Linked DNA regions of Cricetulus griseus. The protein of the gene in region 5 binds, or shares a complex with, the protein of the main gene of each other region. Links are inferred from orthologs where the notes say so. Each region holds a gene or a part of one and is shown on either strand. Other genes may lie near its edges.

The links.
Region 1: the proteins of Rps6ka1 (region 5) and Sntg1 are in contact, whole or in part, in a crystal structure (PDB 7PC8), measured with the Homo sapiens proteins. The link is inferred for Cricetulus griseus from reciprocal best matches to the Homo sapiens genes RPS6KA1 and SNTG1. Residues at the interface, in NP_002944.2 of Homo sapiens: Arg728, Lys729, Leu730, Pro731, Thr733, Thr734, Leu735; in NP_001274742.1 of Homo sapiens: Gly67, Phe68, Gly69, Leu70, Ser71, Ile72, Lys73, Gly74, His78, Ile80, Ser85, His118, Glu119, Val122, Leu125, Arg126, Arg141.
Region 2: the proteins of Rps6ka1 (region 5) and S100b are in contact, whole or in part, in a crystal structure (PDB 5CSJ), measured with the Homo sapiens proteins. The link is inferred for Cricetulus griseus from reciprocal best matches to the Homo sapiens genes RPS6KA1 and S100B. Residues at the interface, in NP_002944.2 of Homo sapiens: Ala697, Met698, Ala699, Ala700, Thr701, Ser703; in NP_006263.1 of Homo sapiens: Ser42, His43, Phe44, Leu45, Glu46, Ile48, Val53, Val57, Ala84.
Region 3: the proteins of Rps6ka1 (region 5) and Magi1 are in contact, whole or in part, in a crystal structure (PDB 5N7F), measured with the Homo sapiens proteins. The link is inferred for Cricetulus griseus from reciprocal best matches to the Homo sapiens genes RPS6KA1 and MAGI1. Residues at the interface, in NP_002944.2 of Homo sapiens: Pro731, Ser732, Thr733, Thr734, Leu735; in NP_001028229.1 of Homo sapiens: Arg480, Gly481, Phe482, Gly483, Phe484, Thr485, Val486, Val487, Gly488, Asp490, Lys499, Ser500, His532, Val536, Phe539, Gln540.
Region 4: the proteins of Rps6ka1 (region 5) and Synj2bp are in contact, whole or in part, in a crystal structure (PDB 7P74), measured with the Homo sapiens proteins. The link is inferred for Cricetulus griseus from reciprocal best matches to the Homo sapiens genes RPS6KA1 and SYNJ2BP. Residues at the interface, in NP_002944.2 of Homo sapiens: Pro731, Ser732, Thr733, Thr734, Leu735; in NP_060843.2 of Homo sapiens: Arg18, Gly22, Leu23, Gly24, Phe25, Asn26, Ile27, Val28, Gln33, Ser45, Arg46, His78, Val82, Phe85, Arg86.
Region 6: the proteins of Rps6ka1 (region 5) and Sntg2 are in contact, whole or in part, in a crystal structure (PDB 7QQL), measured with the Homo sapiens proteins. The link is inferred for Cricetulus griseus from reciprocal best matches to the Homo sapiens genes RPS6KA1 and SNTG2. Residues at the interface, in NP_002944.2 of Homo sapiens: Pro731, Ser732, Thr733, Thr734, Leu735; in NP_061841.2 of Homo sapiens: Gly82, Gly83, Leu84, Gly85, Leu86, Ser87, Ile88, Lys89, Gly90, His94, Ser101, Lys102, Phe104, His134, Val138, Leu141, Arg142.

What each region holds. Positions count from the first base shown.
Region 1 is NC_048595.1:235,446,428-235,449,927, reverse strand, and holds part of Sntg1 (gamma-1-syntrophin), read left to right. Parts: intron 1-1,822; coding exon 1,823-1,975; intron 1,976-3,500. UniProt on the Homo sapiens protein: Adapter protein that binds to and probably organizes the subcellular localization of a variety of proteins. May link various receptors to the actin cytoskeleton and the dystrophin glycoprotein complex.
Region 2 is NW_023276806.1:262,463,716-262,465,954, reverse strand, and holds the end of S100b (protein S100-B), read left to right. Parts: intron 1-1,582; coding exon 1,583-1,723; 3' UTR 1,724-1,739; downstream 1,740-2,239. UniProt on the Homo sapiens protein: Small zinc- and- and calcium-binding protein that is highly expressed in astrocytes and constitutes one of the most abundant soluble proteins in brain.
Region 3 is NC_048601.1:50,151,311-50,154,810, reverse strand, and holds the end of Magi1 (membrane-associated guanylate kinase, WW and PDZ domain-containing protein 1), read right to left. Parts: coding exon 2,851-3,500; 3' UTR 70-2,850; downstream 1-69. UniProt on the Homo sapiens protein: Plays a role in coupling actin fibers to cell junctions in endothelial cells, via its interaction with AMOTL2 and CDH5. May regulate acid-induced ASIC3 currents by modulating its expression at the cell surface.
Region 4 is NC_048598.1:122,173,805-122,177,730, forward strand, and holds the start of Synj2bp (synaptojanin-2-binding protein), read left to right. Parts: upstream 1-1,126; 5' UTR 1,127-1,251; coding exon 1,252-1,315; intron 1,316-3,926. UniProt on the Homo sapiens protein: Regulates endocytosis of activin type 2 receptor kinases through the Ral/RALBP1-dependent pathway and may be involved in suppression of activin-induced signal transduction.
Region 5 is NC_048595.1:19,421,641-19,425,140, reverse strand, and holds part of Rps6ka1 (ribosomal protein S6 kinase alpha-1), read right to left. Parts: intron 3,441-3,500; coding exon 3,315-3,440; intron 3,113-3,314; coding exon 3,023-3,112; intron 2,743-3,022; coding exon 2,584-2,742; intron 1-2,583. UniProt on the Homo sapiens protein: Serine/threonine-protein kinase that acts downstream of ERK (MAPK1/ERK2 and MAPK3/ERK1) signaling and mediates mitogenic and stress-induced activation of the transcription factors CREB1, ETV1/ER81 and NR4A1/NUR77, regulates translation through RPS6 and EIF4B phosphorylation, and mediates cellular proliferation, survival, and differentiation by modulating mTOR signaling and repressing pro-apoptotic function of BAD and DAPK1.
Region 6 is NC_048600.1:32,419,981-32,424,265, reverse strand, and holds the start of Sntg2 (gamma-2-syntrophin), read left to right. Parts: upstream 1-1,485; coding exon 1,486-1,557; intron 1,558-4,285. UniProt on the Homo sapiens protein: Adapter protein that binds to and probably organizes the subcellular localization of a variety of proteins. May link various receptors to the actin cytoskeleton and the dystrophin glycoprotein complex.

The DNA.
Region 1 (3,500 bases), about 220 Mb from region 5:
CCCTTCTTCCAGTAGGTGTATGTGGGGTCTCCTCCTCTCTCTGGTGGTAGGTGGAGGGCTGAGGCTCAGGCAGCAGGCTCAGGCTCAGGCAGCAGCCAGAAGGGAGAGGGTGGTAGAGAGATAAGGGTGAGGTATGTCCAGACTCAGGGTGGGCCTTACGGTCTGGGCAGGTCCACTCTTGTCCAGGGGGGCTCAGACAGAAGCGACCAGGGTTGGATGGGGGAGGTTGTGGGCAGAGCAGCACCAAGTCTCACCTCAGACTCAAGCGGCAGCCAGAGAACAGAGTGCTTTTCTAGTTTTAACAATGTTTATTTTAAAAACAAGGTTTCTGGTTCCCTGTAGCAATGTCTTACAGAAAATTCCTGTGTATATCAATCAAAATAATAATGAAACTAACAAAGTATATTAAGTAAGAACTCAAGAATGCAAATAATCTATAATAATGTAAAACTTCATTCATTATTTTCATTATCTTGCCACTTTTAAAAATTATCATTTTAAATAACTAGCTTCCATCTGAATGCATCACACACATCCCCACATGTATCAGATACCTTTGGATATAATCTTCTTTCCAGAAAATAGAACTTCACTCCACTAAGTTAAATTGGGAGCAAAATCAAGGACATTAATTCAGTTAAGGAGCTTAAGCCATTAAGTGATAAGACATTTATCAAAGGCATAATTATACTTGTACTCATAATGATCTGTACCAGTGTATTCAATGCTGCTTTGATTTAATATCTGTCACTGGGACACTCCCCAAATACAATATTTCCTCCAAACACCAAAAGAACCTTGTCACCATTTATTTGTGTTCTATGCTCACATTGTCTTGTTAATTTTTTTGCAATGCCTATGCCATCTTCTTAGCTCCCTGAAAGTTTTCAGGCAGCAAGAATCAGAGTTAATTCTATAATACTGGAAGTAACTTCCTTTATCCTTCCAGTATGTACCTACAAGAATCAAATTGGAATGCAAGGGAGTTAGATATTCTGTTTTAAATCATAGCTAAAGCCGAGGGTTCAATGTATTTGCACTGTTTAGTTATGGTACATCTGCATGCATTCCTCCATCAATAGCTAGATACCAATGAGTAGCCCCTCAAAAATTTACAGTATATTGAATAAGTATTTCAAATTATGTATCTGAGAATGTAGTACAGACTGTTGTCCTGTACTTTTTCATACATAGCATATCTGAATTTTCAAAGTACCTTAGAGTTGAAATGTTTTGCATTAGGGGAACACCTTGGTAAAAAATGTGGGACCAAACCAAGAAATTTCTAGGAGCAAAATCTTTGATACAATGAAATAAAATTACACATATAAAGAAAATGTTTGCCATAGGGGAATATAGAAAGCAATTGGTGCAGAAAATTGCACTACGTTTTTCCTAATTTTCTATGGGGTCATGAATTTAATGATTTCCAAAAAAAATCATTTCAGTGAAATTTTCTCATGACTGTGAAAGATGCCAGCATAATCATAAGCATTATTACATCTCAGTGCCCAGACAGTTTGCAAGGAAGTTGGGGTGTTGTGTATCAGGCCATTTTGCAATCACAGATTTTTTGTGTATGTGCATTCAGCACTGTAGTTATTCCTTTGTTACTAAGAAATTTGGGTGAATGATCACAGAAAATGGATTCAGATGTGGGATTTAAAATTTGTTTTAACCATTTTGAATTAAGATTAATGACAGTACAAAATTCCATGTGTATTGTGGAATCTACCCATTGTATCAAGCAGCTCAGTAGGCATTTGCTGCGCTGATTAAGAATTGATGTATGCCAGCCTGTGTAACTCCAGGTTTTCATCAGGACAGTGACCTGCTGGATCAGAGGAAATACTGCTTTACTATGCAGTCTGAGTGTGGGGAGGACTTCTACTTCTCTGTGGAGCTAGAGAGTGACCTTGCCCAATGGGAACGAGCCTTCCAAACAGCCACCTTCCTAGAAGTGGAGAGGATACAGGTAGGAGACTATGGAGGGCTTTGTGTAATATCTGGGGACATCTAACCACTCACTGGAGTTCAGAAGGTATCTGAGCACAGTTCTGTGAGGTTGCCTTCCACCTCAAATGATTCCACTGTTTAGCCTTTATTGAAAAATGAGTAAGTAGGCATATCCAAATAATCATTGAAGTTTCTTTTTCATGAATTTGCCTTCATAGGTTACTTCCTATTAAATATTCCTATGATTTGAATCTTATATAGAAAATGCTCTTGCTGTTGTTCCCTATTTATGCGGTTGTTTCCTTTCTTCAGACATGGCCAACTAATTTCTAGATGTCTTCCTTTGAACTATGCCTTTCAAAACAATGCACAGTATGTGAAGCTTTCTTCAAAGATGACTTCATCCATGGGCCTCAATTTCTATGGCTTCTTCCCCGATTCCTTTCATAGATGTTCTGCTGATTCTCGCTACTTCCCCCGGTAGCAAAAAAGTTATTCACCGTTTTCTTTCATTCAGTGTTTCACTGTTTTCTTCAGATGACTTACACCATAACATTAAAAACTTATTGCCATAGGTTGCTTATTTTATTCCTCTGTGGTTTGAAGTCTAAGATATTTTGCAAGCCACAAGTGGCCAGTGGTATTTACTGAATTGTTGTTCTCCTGTATGAAGCTATATCTAAATCAGACTTCATAAACCCTTTAACCTCTCAAATACATGAGTATCTGAAATGAGACATATCACAGAATTGGTTCTGTGGTTGACCTGGAACAAGATACAAAAAATTTAAAGTTAATTAGGTTTTTGCCCCTTGGAATAGAATCATAGATCAAGCACCAGCATATGTGGACACTTAGTTTTTTAAACACATATTATAACTGAAATGAAAATACTCAACTCTTGGTTTGACTCATATTTTATAACTTCTCTTTTTAACTACACTAGGAATGGGCACATTTAGTTGAAAAAAAATGGAATTTCATTTTCACATTTGAGAATGTGAATGTACTAGCAAGAAAATATTGTTTAATTTCTGTAGAATGAATATCTTGGTTTCCTTAAAGTTGGCTAAAATTAAAATTATGGACCTGGCAGTACATGTCTGTAATCCCAGCAATTGGGAGGTAAAGACAGGTAAAAAAGTTGAGTGTTGTCCTCTGCTATATAAGTCTGTGCTACATGAGACCCTGTCTCAACACTGGAAAATAGCAATAAATAGGAAAATGTGAGCTAATGAAAATTAGGCAAAAAAGAAGAAAGCTAATACCTTGATTAATGCTATAGAAGAAGTCATGAATTAAAGTGTTTTTCTTTAAAAACATATTTGTATTACAAGGACTACAAAGCAACATTTTCTACCTGAAATACATTTATTTAATTATGTATGTTTTGTTTTGAACTTGTAGTAAACACAGAATAAATACTATCATATTTATTTGAAATGATGACACATAAAAGCACATATTTTGTGTACATTGAACAGTCTCATTTAAATTTCTAATTAATCTTTAGAAAATATAGTGAATATTGAAACATAAAGCAC
Region 2 (2,239 bases), on a different chromosome or scaffold from region 5:
CCACAGGCTTGCTGGAGAAGTCTCCAAATCTGCTTTGAAGAACTAATTTCTCAGGCATTCAGATTCCCGAAGAGACCACTACTCCACTTGCTTAATCAGTTATAGTCCCACCCATTCTATCTTTCGATGTAACCATCTTTAAAGGGGAGTACACAGGGGTGAGGTCGAGCATGTCTGGCTCTTCACATAGAATGGAAGCTCTATTGGTAGTAACTTAAAATACTCGCTACCACCATGATTTTAGAACAGAAAAAAAAAAGAGCATATGATGTCACATTTATTAATGTTACAATATCGAGGTATCATCCATATTTGTTGGCCTGGTTTAACAAAAGCACTAGAGAAAATCAACTCAAAGGAGGGAAGGTTTATTCCGCTCATGGTTCCAGCCCATGGTTGTCAGGCTGCACTGTGTGAGGGCCTTTGATGAGGTCAACCATCATGGCAAGGATCAAAGCTGCTCACCCGGTGGAGGCAAACAAAGAAAGGAAGTGACCTCACTTCATCCCAAAGGTCCTACCACCTCCCAGTGGTGCCAGCGGTGGGCCCCAAGCTGCTTACACATGAGCCTCTGGAAGACATGTAGAACCAAAATCACAGTCCCTGTGGTGTAAGTGAAAGAACTATACTGTGCCATCTATATTTTGGGAGATATTTAAAAGTCTTCATGAGCCCCTCGGAATCACCATCTTTCACGCCTGAATCTTTTGTATTTAGGGAAGCACGTGACTTCACAGAGCTCTCCTGGCAGGGACGGGGGTGGAGGGAGTTGTTAATTAAAATGGTCAGAACTGGAATCTTCCGTGCTCAGAGTCTGCATCCTTCCCACTGGTCTTCAGGCCTGAACTCTTGGTGCATCAGCAGCCTGACCTTTGTCACTCAGTGGTAGCCTTACCACTCATCAGGCTTCGGTGTCAGGACTATCAGGAAAAAGCCTACGACATGTAGGAAATAAGCCAAGACGATAAAAGAACAGAACAGAACGGCAGCTCTGACGTGTTCCCAAGTGAACGTTAAAATCCACATGGCTCCCAAACACACACAGGCTCTCCAGCACTGAGTTCATTTTTTTTTTAAAGATTTATTTATTATGTATACAGCGTTCTGTCTGCTTGTATGCTTGCACGCCAGAAGAGGACACCAGATCTCATTCAAGGTGGTTGTGAGCCACATGTGGTTGCTGGGAATTGAACTCAGGACCACTGGAAGACCAGCTAGTGTTCTTAGCCACCGAGCCATCTCTCCAGTCTGAGTTCTTTTCTTTAAGTCACTGGCTCAGGTTGAGATGGGATTCACACATGTTCCAGGTACAATCTGTTACTTCTTGATTATTTCCCTATTTTAAAGTAACCCAGGTCCCACTAGACCAAAGGCAAGAGGAGAGGCACAGACTCCACCCCACTTTCCTGTGGCTGACTGTCCCTCACTCACAGAGGACTGCTAGAAGTTTTCATAACCTGTATTGGGATTTTTTTTTCTGATGCAAATTATCACCCTGGTACTTTGAATAACATTTTGATAGCCCTGAATCCCATCTAAAAAGGACTTCATCAGCTTTTCTTTTTTTCTTTCTCAATCTCAGGAAATCAAAGAGCAGGAAGTTGTGGACAAAGTCATGGAAACACTGGATGAAGATGGAGATGGAGAGTGTGACTTCCAGGAATTTATGGCCTTCGTCTCCATGGTGACTACAGCCTGCCATGAGTTCTTTGAACAAGAGTGAGACAAAAAAAAAAAAAAAAAAAAAAAAAAAAAAAAAAAAAAAAAAAAGTAGCCAAGCTGTTCCTGTGGCAGACATGAAGGCCAGGAAAGTAAGCAGAGTGGAAGGCTTGCAGGCTTGAAGGAGCGGAGCTCTCCATCCACATATAACTAATTAGGAAGCTTGATTTGCTTTGGGTATGAGAAACTGAAAGGCTTCCCAAAAGCTGCTTTAAGTTAGCACACATCATTATTTCTGCTACATTAGGCATTCCTGTGAACTGTCTGGTCCCAGGAAGTGTTGGTTAAGAATCACTTAGGGGACAAATTCAATGCTGGGCAGTACAGCATGTGTGGCAGATCATCGTGCCCCTGAGAAGCATGGCCCAGAAGAATCACAGCTGCCCACCAACAGCAAGCAGTTCTCTAGGACGGCATTCTTAATGCTTCCAACAGACCCCCAAATCCACAGCTGGATCCACTGTCCCTGGAAGAGGCTGTTTTTCCTTACATCTTCCTTACGCTGTTTGTGCAAATATGC
Region 3 (3,500 bases), on a different chromosome or scaffold from region 5:
AGTGATTACTTGACCCTGAACCATTTGAGACCACATGGAGACAAAGAAGATACCAAGCCAGAAACAATAGTGGTTATGGAATGCATACACACTTCCATGTATTTTTACAGTAAAAATGAATTTAAAAAATCTTTCACAAAAGAAACTTAAAAAATACAAGTAGGCTATTGAGTCCTCCCCCACCCAACATTCTTTCAGGCATCAATTGTATAGTGGAGGGGGATGGTCCTAAATGGTTTGGTTTAATCATACAACATACTCATCCATCATACCTCATCAGCACTCTTACATGACGTGGAAGGGTGGGGAGAGGAAGCTCACAAGAGTCTGCTTCCAACAAATGTTACAGTAGATTGAAGAGAATTCTACTTTTCTGCTTAGTGTATAGTTCTCTGTACTTTGAAAGTGCAATACTTTCAGACCAAATCTGATGTACAGAATTAAGATTAAATTGCTACAGCAAAATTCCTCAGATACCAAGCCAGGCTCAGGTGGTTAGCACTGACTTTAAATGCTGAACACCATTTCTTACAATGAGACAGACACCTTGATGTTAACTTCAGGAGGCAATCGAAAAACCATCCTTGACTCTTTTACTTGTTCAAAACCCTCAGACTGTGATCAGGAGAATTAACTAGTCACATCATGGACCATGCTACAAGTAGTGAGAAAAATCCCAGCAGCAGAGCCTTCAGTGTAATACCTCAGAGTTAGCTCTCAGGAAATGGATGAAATATACATTGCCATTCAGCATTAGCACTGTAGTCAGTGCATGCTTTGTAGGGAGAACTCTGATAATAAAAGTAGCAATCACAGACTCCCCGCCCCCTTTAGCTACGGAATGTACATTGTGTCTGATTCAGGAAAAGAACGTTGATCACGTCCACATTAACTATAGCTACTTGGTGTAATTTCTTGTATAAACCCCAAGTCAAATAAAGCTATGAACAATGTAATATTTATATGTGCATAGTGTTTTATAAAAAGATTGGCCCACACACTGCTTTTCATCAACACAGAGGGAGCACTAAGCATGAAATAAAAGAGTGAAGAACAGAGAATGCAAATGAATGCCTGATTATTCATGAGTAGGCTCTCCGTGGAGAAATGATAGCGCCAACTAAAGCTTTAGTGATTACTTATACAGTCTCCCTCTTTAAAACAACTTTACATACCTGATTTACTTTACATTAAAGTATATTCCCAAGAATCAATCTGTTCATATTCAGAAATATAGACACATACCACATTCCTCACAGCTAGACTTTTGTCATAAATTCTCTTTTATACAAAAAAAGGCAACAGTTGTTTATTTTTTTTTTCCAACAGGCTCTATTAATTACAATTTTAAACTCTACATACAATGATTGGCTGGTTTTCTTTTCTTTTTTTTGTTTTTTGTCTTTTTCTTCCCTCCCCTAATACAGTACCATGGGAACAACAGTGATTGACTTGCAAAGTTTTTGTGTCTGAATGGAAAATGCAAAACAGTACTACAGAAATACAAATGCACTGTCAGCAGCAGTTTGCCGTAGTGGTCCAACAGGTACAAGCAAACACTTTGGCTCAGCTAGGCAGTAATCCACTTAAACCACATCTCAGGGCTACAGCTCACCCAACCACACCATCTGAGGGTTCAGAAAATGGGTCTATTTTAGAAAGAAAAAACATTCCATTTTATTTTGCTATCCCCAGATACAAAGAACAGGGTCATGGGGACGGAGCTTTCTCAGAAGGTCAAGAATCATGGGTGTTACCACTTTCTTCTTTGCCTTTCAATCAATCGGTAAGACTTGGATTATGGTTTCAAAGTGCATAATCATCCATTCAGGAATAAGCAGCCCCAATGCTTTTCAAATATCACGAGAGAGGTTTCCTCTACCAAAGTCCACTCCTCTGCGCCCTCTGCAGAAGGCAACCATGGGCTTATGCTAAACAGTGGGGGAGGGCATTCTTTCCATATTGGAGACATTTATATCTCCCTCATCCCAGAGGCATAAGGTCCTACCTACATTCCACCTACTCAGTTTCATATTGGACCAGACAACCCAGAAGCAGCCTGTCTGTTCCTCCTAAAGGCTGACAATTTGTGATGGGCACTGCTGTGAGATGTGTTCCGTGGCGGAGTTGATGAAACTGACCATCTGAGCTAAGGCTGTATTTGGTTAATGGCAGCCAACTTTGTTTTTGCACCTTCCTGGGCCAGGGAGGGCACAAACCGTACTCTGAATCAACTATTAACTCAAGATCATAAAGTTTCTTAGCGCTGTGCACTGTCGTCATAAATATCCTTCATTTGCAGTAGTATTCTTGTCACACAGTTTGGCCACCCTAATCCATCCTAAAAGGTCCTTAGTTTGTACAAATAGAAGCTTGCTTTTTTTGTGTGTTCTGTTTTTCTGAAAAACAGGGGTTTACAGTACAGCACTACATCACTTCTAACAGTTTATACTGAGTTAAATTTCATTGCATTTACTTAGAGGACATGACCAACAGCCCCATTTATCTAGAAGAGAAAGAGCTTGCCCTAAGAGGGAACAATTCTCAACAATTGTATAGCTTGTGAAGAAACAAAATGTATATCCCTTTAGGCCATTATTTTGGCAAATAATTTTCAAAAAAAAGTATGCATTTAAAAATACTTTCTTTAATATTATACATCAGGCACAACAAGACTTTTCATATATATATTTTTTCTCATAAGATTTCAAATGCATAAAATGTCCATTACTATTCATAGGTCTGTCAGGTGTAGATGCTTTCTCAGGTAAGAAACTAAATTATCCCATGTTTGCGACCTTCCTCTTAGAACCTTTGACACGGTAAAGGTTGCAGTGTGACTCAGGAGTCTCAGATGCTGAGGTCAGTGCTACACTCTTTGTAAGGCCGCCTTCTCTGCTCTGGAGGATTTCTGGGGCTTCTCCCAGCTTCAGGCTTCAGACCAGCCTCGTCCTTTTCTCGGTGGCCAACCTTGTCGTCCCGGTTTCTTTTGTCCAGAGACCGCTCTCGCCTGCGCTCGGGGGACCTGGCTCTCCTCCTGTCGGTGGACTTGGCTCTCCTCTCAGGTGAGCCCCCTCTTCTGTGCTCTGGGGACCGTCTCTGATCCAGGAGTCTTTCCAAGGACCTCCGCCGGCGGCTGGGGGAGCTGTCTCGTCTCCGGGTGGGTGACCGCTCTCGCTTCCTCTCAGGGGACATCTCCCTTCTCTTCTCATGCTTCTCCCTCCTTTCCAAAGTGGTGTCGGCACTGCGGGTGCCTTCCCTGTGCTTCTCCGGGGACCTCTTCTTGGGGCCATTGGTGGCTGTCCGCTCCGGCTGTGCGTCTCTCCATGCATCGGGTGGCCGGTCTTTGGGCCGGCATGCCCCACTGTCGGATTTTCTAGAAGTTCCATTCCAGGTGTGGTGTTCGTTGGGTTGTTTGCTATGCTCCCTATTGCCTTTTGGATCCTTCACGTGTGCCCGCTTTTCCCCATGTTGTGATGATTTGTGAAGATCGGGTGGGT
Region 4 (3,926 bases), on a different chromosome or scaffold from region 5:
ACTTCTGACTTGTTTTGATTAATTAACAGTGGTTGCTGGCTCGATTTTTAACTGTAAGGTAGAATACCTTTATGGTGATATTCACTCTTCAATTCTCTAACATCTCCAGTAACCAATCCCTTTTTTCACCCTATATACATTTATGGTCACCTTCCTGGTTCCTAAGGCTTTTTTTTTATCTTTTGATGTTTGAAAATTCCTTCAACCTGTTTGGAATGTCCTATTTCAAAAGTCAAGAGGGCTAGGAATGTCACATCTTAAGTCCTGCAATCATCTTGTCAAAAAAATGACATTTCCACCCCCACCTCCACACCCTCCACCCCTGCTTTGGAGTATTTTTCTTGAGTAAGCCTATAATTTAATTAATCCCTTCTCTGTATCTTTGTATGTATACACATTTCTTAAGTTAGATAAGCCTGCTAAAGACACAAACCAGGAATATATTGCAGCAAATACTTTAAACAAAGTGTCTTGTCAGTCGTATGGTGCTCCAGTTTCCTGTCATGTGTGTCAGTGTAGGTGCCTTGCTTTAAGCAGTGAACACTACACACACACACACACACACACACACACACACACACACACACACACACACACACGAGGTGGGGGAGGGAGGGAGATAGGTTGTATTTTTTCCCCCTGTAGATAAATTATATTAACACAGAGTGAACTGCCAGCGAATGAACATGACACAGTGTTATCAAGTTCTTTTACACGGGGCATGGATGTATTGGGCTGTACCCACGTCACACAAAAGGAAAAGGTACAACTTTCTGCCCAAATATGCAATCTCACCAGTAGTTTGCCCGTGATGCCTTTCCCAGTATGGTTTGAAGCTCATAAGATAAAATCCTCCTGTTTTTTTTTTTTTTTTTTTTACATTTGTGGATATTTTGAGATTTTATTTAAAATATCAACAGTATCAATCTAATTACGAACCATAACTTTATTACCCTCTTTCCGTGCCCTCCTTCCCACATGCTTTCCCAAGGTAGGTGAGCATTGTGCCTTACTCATGGCACCCCAGGATCTGCCTTGGGAATGGGGCGAGGTAACGGAAAACGCTGGTGGGCGCGGAGAACCACCACTCCCAGCATCCTTGGCGCTCCCAGTGCCCGCGGTTTCCTCTTCCGGTCCGGCGGCTTAGGAAACTGTAAAAGCTATGCTGGGGACGCGGCGCGGAGCTTGATTCACCTTCACCTGCGCGGAGCTCCAGCTGACCCCGGGCTTCCGCCCGGTGAGCCGTCAGACATGAACGGACGGGTGGATTATATAGTTACGGAGGAAGAGATCAACCTGACGAGAGGACCCTCGGGTAGGCGCGGGACGTGGAGGGAGTCATTGCTGAGCTCGTTGGTTTTGCGGAGCCAGGTTTACTGGCTGGAGAGCAGGCCGGCCCGACCAAGTTGCTTCCAAGAACGCCGTCGGGCACGACGAAAGAGCCCATTGGCATCCTTTGTTAGCTAGATAACGGACCCTGGGACTCGGCCTCACAACCCAGGGAAAGTGCCGCAGGCATTTAGGGCCAGGAAGGGTTTCTGTTTGCTGGTAGTAATAGAAAAGTCTAGACGAACGGCCGCTGCTTAGACAGCCTGTAGTGGACGCCACATCCGTTATTCAGTTGCCTGGATCATCCTTGTTTATATGAGGGCCCGTTCAGGTAAAAACGAGAGCGGTAAACGGCGTGGTTTTCTGAATGCATAGCAATTTCCCTGGTGCTAGGGTCCCTGTCTGCATTTCTGGGAAATTAGTTTACAGTGTCAACTGGAATGCTAAAGCAGGAGGATACCCACTACAGAAGTTTCCAGACCTAGCGCCACCCCAGAATTACTTGGGCTTGTTTTGTTTTTACATTTTTTTTTATAATGAATTAAAACGAAAAGGCTATTTTCTAGTTTCATTTTTAGGGATATGGATTCAGTATGGATTAAACAATTCTTTAAATACTAAATGTGATTCTGACAGGAAAATTCCCACTCAGCCCTGCTGTGTCTTCCTCACCGCTGCTCATGGCCAGACTGGCATTATTATTATTATTATTATTATTATTATTATTATTATTATTATTATTATTGTTTTGGTTTTTCGAGACAGGGTTTCTCTGTGTAGCTTTGGAACCTATCCTAGCACTCGCTCTGGAGACCAGGCTGGCCTTGAACTCACAGAGATCCGCCTGCCTCTGCCTCCCGAGTGCTGGGATTAAAGGCATGCGCCACCACCGCCCGGCGCCAGACTGGCCTTTAAACATGACTACATAGTGCTGTTGTCTCCCTTGGACTATTTTTAGGTTTAGGGTTAACTACTTATGGCCAAGTTTTTATCTAACAACTTACCAGTTTGTCTGTCAGTCTGTCTGGTTGGTTTTAATTCATTGGCAGAGTAATTTAACTGATGTATGCTATAGGTTCTTGTCTGTAGAGTGGAGATGGTTATGAAGTGCATTGTGTTTGACATATAGTGTTAGGATGAAGCCAGTTACGCCCTGAGAAATATTTAGAACATTGTCTTGACATATGGTAAGCAATGTGTATTTGCTATTATTGTTATCATTAGTGAATGAATGGTTAGACTGACCCCAGTAAGTTCTGCTAAATACAGTATTCCAAGAGTTGAATAAATCATTGGTTACTGTGGATTTTTATTCTACTTAGAATATTCTGTCAACTTTTCTCATCTGGAAGTTTGCAATAACTTAATCACTACTGATAGAGTGTTCTGTATAAAACACAACTTTCAGAATTAGTCATACTTTTTGTCTTCCTGTTGGGAGAAAATTGGAAGTTGGTCTTATTTATGGGAGTAACACACTGCTAATCTTTGTGGTTTATACAGAAGCTCAGTGCTGGTTGATTTTATTTTTTATTTCATTTGTCAACTTGGCAGAAGATAGAGTTATCTGGGAAAAGGAACCTCAATTGAGAAAATACCTCTATCAGATTGCCCGTAGGCAGGCCTGTGGAGCATTTTCTTGATTGATATTGATGTTTGATGATCAGCTCACGGTGGGCAGTGCCACCCTGGGCACGTGGTCCTAGATTGTAAGGAAGCAGGATGAGCAAGCCAGTAAGTAGCGCTACTGTAGTTGCTACGTCCAGGCTCCTGATGGAGTTCTCTTTATGATGGAATGTTACCTGAAAGTGTAAGATTAAATAAATCACTTCATCCCTTAGTTGCTTGTGTTACAGTGTTTTGTCATAGCAATAGAAAACCTAAGATAAACTCAAAAACTTTTGCTCAAAGACTTTTCAATATGCTCAAGTGTTTGAATTTGTCCTATTTTAGAAAACTATTCTCTCAATATTTATTTACTTTTTAGGCTAGCATGGTAGAAATTGAATTTTTATTGCATTTATTTAGTTATTTGTGTGAGGGGCAAGGAGGCCTGTAGAACTCAGAGGACAACTTTCAGGAGTCAGTTTTTTCCTTCTATCATGTGGGTCCCAGGGATTGAACTCAGGTTGTCAGAGTTGGTGGCAAGTGCTTGTGCCCACTGAGCCATCTCACTCAGCAGCCTCAGATCTTTAAATAAAAGTCCATTTTTTTGTGTGTACTTTTCATCTTCTCTTCTTAGGATCAGTTGAGATACACCTTTCTGATTGCTTTGCAAGTACATAATGACATCTAGTTCTTTAAATATACTTGCATGATACTACTTTTTATGATGTTTGAGGTTGTTTTTTGCCTAATGGTAAGGACCTAATGATATAGTCTCTTTGCAGTGGTATTACAGTATTTCCAGGGTCTTCCGATGAGAGCAGATTCCTGATATTATTATTCTTGTTTAAGCACTAAATTCAACATAATATCACTGTTTGAACCTCTGGGCATTTTAATGGGCATTGTCTAATTTCTAAGCAATTTTCTTACAGATCTAAAGTTTCTACTCTTAGTATTTCCATCAAGCATTAGAGCTAGGGAAAGTGCCC
Region 5 (3,500 bases):
ATCAAGTACAACGTCACACCGAGAGACAAGTGACCTCGCGCCCCTGCCTCCACTTCAGGGCCCCACTGTTCTACATAGCTAGCTCAGGTCCTGACTGGCCTCTAGGTATGAGTAGAGGAGAAGCTGAGCTTTCGGACCTGTGAGGACACATCCCAGTCACTAAAACATGGACCTGGAGGCCAACAGTTGGATACAGTCACAACAAGCCCATTTCCAGAGTTCTCCTCTATAGTCTATAAGGACAAAGAAAACTGGAATTCCTCAAAGGCCAGTGGCCTGTAATAGTTAAGTATTCTTGCTGGGTCTATAATCCCAGCCCTGGGGAGGATGAGGTAGGCTGATCTCTGTGAGTTCCAGGCCACAGAGTGGGTTTAGGAAAAGCCTGGGCTACATAGCAAGTTTCAGGTTAGCCTAAGTTATATTACAAGACCGTGTCTCAAATATAATAAACAAAAGCAGGGCATGGTAGTAGCGTACACCTTTAATTCCCGGCACTGGGGAGGCAGAGGCAGGTGGCTCTCTGAGTTTGAGACCAACCTGATCTACAAAGGGAGTTCTAGGACAGCCAGAGCTACACAGAGAAACCCTGTCTCAAAATACAAACTAACAACAACAACAATCAACAAAAACTAGGTAAGCCTTCTATGTGATTCGTTTGGGTCCCAGACCTTGGTTGGCCTTCTCAACCTTATTCCCACTCTCCCTGCAAGAAAGTAAAGTAGACTTCAGAGTTCAGGGCAGTGTGCCCCTAGCACACATGAGGACTTAGGTTTGATCCTCTGCATGGACAAAAAAAGACCCTTTCTCCCACTCAGCAGCATCAAAGCACAGAATGGTGCCGATGGTGAGGCATAGTACTGAAAAGGGCTAGAGGAGCTACAAGTTTCAGTTTACGAGAAACACTGACAGGAATGATGTGAATTACAAAGTAATGTAAGTGGTGCCGGCAGGAAACAACAAGCTCAGAACTCAGATGTTCCAAGGAACTACTGATCTCTTTTACATACACATGGCTTACAAATAGGAAACTCTCACACAGCAGACGACATTGCTGTAAACTCTATGCAAATAAAGGCATGCACCACCACTGCCCAGCTGCATATATATTTTTTTTTTTTTTGGTTTTTCGAGACAGGGTTTCTTTGTGTAGCTTCGGGGCCTATCCTGGCACTCGCTCTGGAGACCAGGCTGGCCTCGAACTCACAGAGATCCACCTGTCTCTGCCTCCCTAGTTCTGGGACTAAAGGCATGTGCCACCACTGCCCAGCCAATCATAATGTTTTATTATAGCAACTGAAAGCAAAATAGGACACCATGTAAACATGGGAACCAGAGTTCAGACCTTTACTTAGCACCCATGTAGACTCCGGGCAGATATGGTAATCGGCTTGTAATTTAAACACTTAGGAGGTGGAGAGAGACTCTGGAGGAAGCGGCTTAGCTAGTCAGCACGAGACCCTGCCTCAATACCTACGGTGTAGTGTGTCCTCTGACCTCCACACTCAGGCACTTACGTGCAAACGCACCTGTCCATCTACTCGCCTATACAAATGCGCTCTCAAGAATACATACATGTGAGGGGATGGTGGCACATCACTGTCTGCCACCTTGCCATGATCCTCTTCCCTTGGCCTTTCAAGAGCTGGGACTACAGGGGGCTGCCATGTCTGACTGTTTTCTTTTTTCCCTCTTTGGAGACAAGGTCTCCATAGGTAGACCAGGCTGGCCTCAAAGTCATGGAGATTCATCTGCCTCTGCCTCCTGAGCGCTGGGATTAAAGGCCTCTGACACCAGGCTGACTTCATTCCTAAGCCCCTCGCTGTGTGATCAGAAGCACGCCCAAACATCACACCACCCAGAGAGAAGCTCCAGGGAACTGAACCATGAGGAACTTTACCCTGCCACTTGGCCCATTCCCAGGGCAACATCAGTCAACAAAGAAGGCCACACCCCGCTCTTTGGCCCACCCACTCCCTTCACCGCCTCCATCTTTTTTTAGTTTTTTGAGACAGGGCTCCTCTGTAGCTTTGGAGTCTGTCCTGGCACTCGCTCTGAAGACCAGACTGGCCTAAACTCACAGAGCTCCACCTGCCTCTGCCTCCTGAGTGCTGGAATTAAAGGTGTGCGCCACCAAAGCCCCGCTACTCCCTCTTTCTTAGCATCTGGGTCACCCTCTCCTTTGAAGCTCCCCCACAGGGACCCCTGCACCTTCCAAAGAAAATCTATTTCTCCCCCCCACTTCCTGTTGCCACTTTCCTCAGTTGTGGGCTTCCAGGAAAATGACCTTATACTCCAAGCCTCAGACTTCTGACCTGCCAAGGGCCAGTAACAACATCTAATTCAGGAAATCCAACTGGAATAACAAAGGAAACTTTCCCTTAAATTAATCCATAGTGTGGTGTATGGCACACAGTAGGTACTGGACAGATGCGCCTCAGTCTGGCCTCAGGTCTTCCCTCCTCTTAGAGTCACCTACCTACCCATTCCCCAGTCCCCTCTGACTGGCAATTTGGAGACTGCCACGCCCGAGACAGAAAGTTCTTGCACTCTGGCCATGTCATGACGCCCCGAATTGAGACTCACCCCCTGGGAATGCAAGTATTCCACAGTCTTGCTGATGGTATGCAGGACGAAGCTGGCCTCCCGCTCTGAGAAGAACTTCTGCCGTAGGATCTTATCCAGTAGCTCCCCGCCCCTCATCAGCTCTGTCACCAGGTACACGTGTTTGCCATCATCATACACCTGCCAGAGACCTCACCATCAGGCTGGGACCCTCAAGACACCAGCTCTCCTGACGAGGAAGCCTCAGGGCCGGGTACTGCCACATTCCAGTGACCCTGCTGGACCTCCACCGGGTGAGCTCCCATCCTGCTAGACAGTGGGTGCTGGCCTCATCCCTGATGGTTATAGAGGGTTCAGAGAATGCCTGAGCCTGGAGGGAAGGCTCAGGGACCCCTGCCTCTTCTCATGAGCATTGGGAAGAGGCCCTGAAGTGAAAAACAAGGGCCCTCCCACCACTCACATCTTTCAGGGTGATGATGTTGGGGTGCTGCCCATACCGCAGAAGAATCTCAATCTCCTCTGAGGGGTCCCGTTTGCTCTTGTCGATGACCTGAAGAGTGGGAGCACATGGCAATGTCAGGGGCACAGACCCCACTGTCCGATTCCCTCTGCCATGAAGCCCATACCACAGGACCAGGGACAATCAGCCGTACATCTGTCATAATCCACAGACCTCCCATCGAAGTGCCACGGGTACACGGGCCCCACCCTCAACCCAGCAGCCTTAATCAAGACGTGGTTGGGAAGCCAACCTTGACAGCATACTCCATGTTGGTAGCCTTGTGGACACAGCGCTTACACACAGAGTAGGAGCCCACGCCGACCGTCTCCTTTACCACATAGCCATCACTGAAAACTAAGTTCTTCCCGTGGAGTTGCTGCAGAAGACAAGAGTTGGCTCGACCCCAGGTGCTACCGCCCAGGGACCATCCCTAACA
Region 6 (4,285 bases), on a different chromosome or scaffold from region 5:
AGAGATTGAACTCATGTGCTTTTCAAAATACAACTTCAAAATAAGTTACATGATCTCATGCTTATGCTAAATTGTTTAATATTCATTGTCCAGTCATCTAAGGCATGTATTTTATACTGGACAAGGATAAAGGGATGGGCATAAGCCTCTTTGTGCATGAACCAAAGCTGTAGAATTGTAGGCTGAGGATAAATAAGACTGGGAAGTCTGAAACACCTTGCTTCTGTGTCACAAACCCAGGGCTGTTTAGTGGTCAGTTGTAAATGGTTTGTTCCACATTTGCTTGTCCATCATGGGGCCATATGAAAACCACACATTAGACTTCCCAGTTTCCCTAATAGTGCAACAGTATAGCCAACATGAGCATCCCCCAGGATGCCTGCCTGTGAGTCATAGGGCTGGGGCATATGACCTGAAAAAGGAGAAAAATATAGGTTTGCTTTTTACTCAGGTGTTGGCCAGGCCATTGGCAAGGGTGCAGGCAGGCACAGTCTTTTAGGCCAAACTAGTTTCCATTTGCATTTATTCTAGGATGGTGTGAATCTATAAAACCAAATACTGCTTTTATGATGCCTTTTGACACAAACCTGATACAATACAAGAAACTCTTAACTGAAACTGGTGACTAAGTTGGAGCCCTTTTGGAAAGTGTGGGAGGCAAGATGGAATCGGGGCCCCGGCCTTGAACATCAGAAGGAGCCCTCACAGTGATTGAGGACTGAGGCCTAAGTAGATGCCAAGAGTGGGACACAAGGAATGGAGTTCACTGTAGTGGAAGGACTTGGTACTTGTGTGTGTGTGTGTGTGTGTGTGTGTGTGTGTGTGTGTGTGTGTGTGTGTGTGTTTCTCCAGAAAGTGAGTTTTGGAGTTTGCTGGGCTGGGTTATTGTGTAGAGATCCGCAAAGACCAGAGGTACCCAAGGCTGTTGTCAGGGCAAAGCGTTGCCACACTCAGAATCTGAGAAGCTTTGCTAGTGGAAGTGGTCACAGAGCATCTGTAAGTGCCAGTGATGTTATCATCAGAATCCACTGGGAATAGCGCCATAGTCCCCCATGGCCCAGGTGTCCTCTTAGCCTTCCAGTCCTAAGGGAAGCGGGCTTCTGACCCTGCCCCAGCTTTGCACTTTGCTGGCCAAAGTGGGAAAGTGATGGTCGTCCCTTCAAGGAGGTGGGAATCCTTCTTGCAGCTCTCATAATCCAGTCCAGCTAGCGCTGACTAGAGGTGGAAGGGCAAAGCTGATGGGCCGGGTTACCGGGCATAAGGCGGGGCTTGATGGTAACGGGCGGAGCTTGGTGGGCGGTGAGAAGGATAGTAGGGGCCGGGCTGTTGGGAGGTGGGCGGGGTTCCGTGCCTGCCCAGCTTGCTAGCGCAGTGGCTGCTGGCTCTGTCCGCCCCAACCCATCCAGAGAGGGGCGCGGGCGCCTTGCAGGCGCTGGACTGGGGAGCTCCGGAGCCCGAAGCGCGCGCCTAGCCGCGTGGGCGGCGATGAGCGCCGAGGGATCGCAGTCCCTGGCCGCCCCCCGCGGGCGTCCTAGTCACCTACTGGTGCCCGCGCGGGTGAGTGGGGTCCCCTGAAGGCCATCTTCTGCCACCCCTGAGTCCCTTCCGTCGGTCCCCTGCTTCCCCTTCTCTCCCAGAGCCCCCTCCTTTCTTCGCGTCCTTGTGTCCCCCTGTCCGGGTGGCTCTTGTGGGCGGGGGTTGGCCCTGGGCCCTGGGCACAGTGGACACCACTAGCCCCTGGGCACCGCAACCTCGTCTTTCTTACATCACAGCTACCAGCACGCAGGGTTTGATTTTTATCTTGAACATCTGGGTCATGGGGCACAGGTGCTTTCCTTTACTGCGTGGTAACTACGGTCTTCCAGAACGTGAGGTTTGGGTTTTGCCCAGCATTTCTTCAAAGGAATGGTCCCTCTGGCCCCAGGCAGTGGCTCTTGCAGCAACTCGGGCACTATGCAGGGGTTTTTGCTGTCCCTCTGATGGGGTGTGGTGCCAACTGCCTCTGCCTATCTCTTGGGCCACCAGCTCAGGACCTCCAGAAATCAAGGGAACCCTGAAGGGCCAACTTTGCAACATTTTTTAGAGATTATTCTAGCTTCTTACCCCCACCCGCCCCAATTCTTATTTTTAAATAACAAACTATTGATGGACAAAACCCAGAATTGTTGGCTTAAACAAAAACGGAAAGTTCTTGGAAACCTTCAAGTTGCCACCCACACAGCACAGCCGAGAGTTCTGGAAAGGGTGCAAGACAGCAGCTGTTTATCATGGCCTTAGGAAGCTGTGCGCCTGTGTGTCCTGGGGTGCAGTCACACCTCCCCTTTAACTTTGCTCAGGAACCCAAACCCTCAGCATTACAGGAGATGCAGGTCCTTTTAGGGTAATAAAGGTTTCTGAGACTGCAAGGCTGGAGTGTCTGCAAGCTGTCCAGTCTTCTGAAATAGGTAGCACACAGTGGCATGTTTAATGTGTTGAGACTAATGTGTCTACTTTGCAAGTTGTACCATACTAGATGATTTCCTCGATGTCTTGAACGTTTTTGGTGGAATGTTGTGGGATTTTGTTGTTGTTGTTTAATACTTTGTAATGTGAATAGTTACCCAACTATAGCAAATGGGACACAAACCTTAGAGAATACCTTGGGTTACCTGGAAATAATAGAAAGCACGTACAGAAGCTCAGGGATCGCTGGCTTTCTGTTTCATGATTCTCAGGACTTTAAATAGGATATCCTCCCATGATGCATTTTGGGAAGTATTCTTGCAACAAGTCTTGTTAGTAACTCTTACAATTAGAAGAAGAACTTAAGTGGTTTATTTTACTTTAAACCTACCCATGAGTTTTGGCAGACTTCAGTTTTAAGTGCATGCATTACCTGAAAGCCTCCAAATAGGCTCATTGAACTCCATGTCAGTCACTAAGTTGCTAGACAGTGCAAGACCTGCGCAGTGCCTCACTGGTAACAGCAGCCTTGGTGATGTGAAATGGCCCAACAGAACTGTACTTGAAGGAAACTTTGCCCCCATTGAGGCCATGTATTTCAGTAATCGTGCAGAGCATGCAAGAGATTTGCTGTGATGCAGTGCTAAACCCCATCAAGAGAGGCTTGAGTTCTTATTCAAATTCAATCTGCCAAGTTTGATGTTTGCACATTCTCAGCATCCCAACATTGTGTTGACTGTACTTCATGTTGCAGCACTTGAACCTTTGACGGGCAGTGTTTCCTCATTAATAACAGGAGCATAGACATTTTCTAGAAATTACTCAGTTTTTAGCAATTACTATGTATAACATTAGCGAGCTTACAATACCTTAGCTATGTGATCTTTTCAATTATCAGAACTTAGTGCATCTACTTAGAAAAAATAATTATAAGATGAAGATGGCACTGAATCTATTACATTCCTGCTTTTATTTTTTTGTCTGAAGTCAAAAGTTTAATGTGTTCTTTATAATGGCAATTGGGTTTGAATCGTGGCAATTGAGTTGGATTTGGTGCCTTGAGCACTTTTCTAAGTTAGGTCAGTTCATGAAGTTGTTTTCTGAGGATCAACCGTCTCATAGCTTGAGAGTCTGCAGTTCTAAGCAGGACTTGAATTTACTGAACATTTTCTGTTTTTAAGTGGCCATCCTTAATCCACAACAGTGTGAGCTGGCAAGCTGCAGTCTCATAGGGTGATGTGCCCTGCCTGTGGGAAGGTTCACTTAGTAACGATATCACTTAGCAGTTTCTCCAGAGCTGCCATTGCTGCAGAGAAGTTGGGCAGACACTTTGGGATCCTGATATTACCCCTTGTTTCCTGCTGCTGTTATATGCTCTGCCTTCTTTCAGACACTTTTGATCTCACCCATGGAATTTCTTTTGGTGCCTGTGACATCATAAGCCAAATCCAGGTATTTTAAAACAGGGAGTTGCCTGTTTTTACCAGGAGACATGTCTCATAGTGGACATTTGAACAGAACCTAATTTAGAAAGCTGTGTTTACTGAAAAAAAAAACATCAGAATTTTATCTTTTTTCTGAAACATATGTGACAACATCTTATATCTATATATCAACATCGTTTTCAATTTTAATATAGATATATTTCCCAGGGCAACTCACGAAATGCACTTTAGAGAGTCTGGAGGAGGTAGCATTGAAGCACCTGATGAGAGGGAAGCTGTTGCACCCAGATTCTTTGTTATTAAATGGTTACATTCTCTGGAGCCTGGTTTTGTGCTCTGCCATGAGCATATGTAATTAATTACATCAGGTAGGGTGAGTTACACTGAAGAAAGCACCC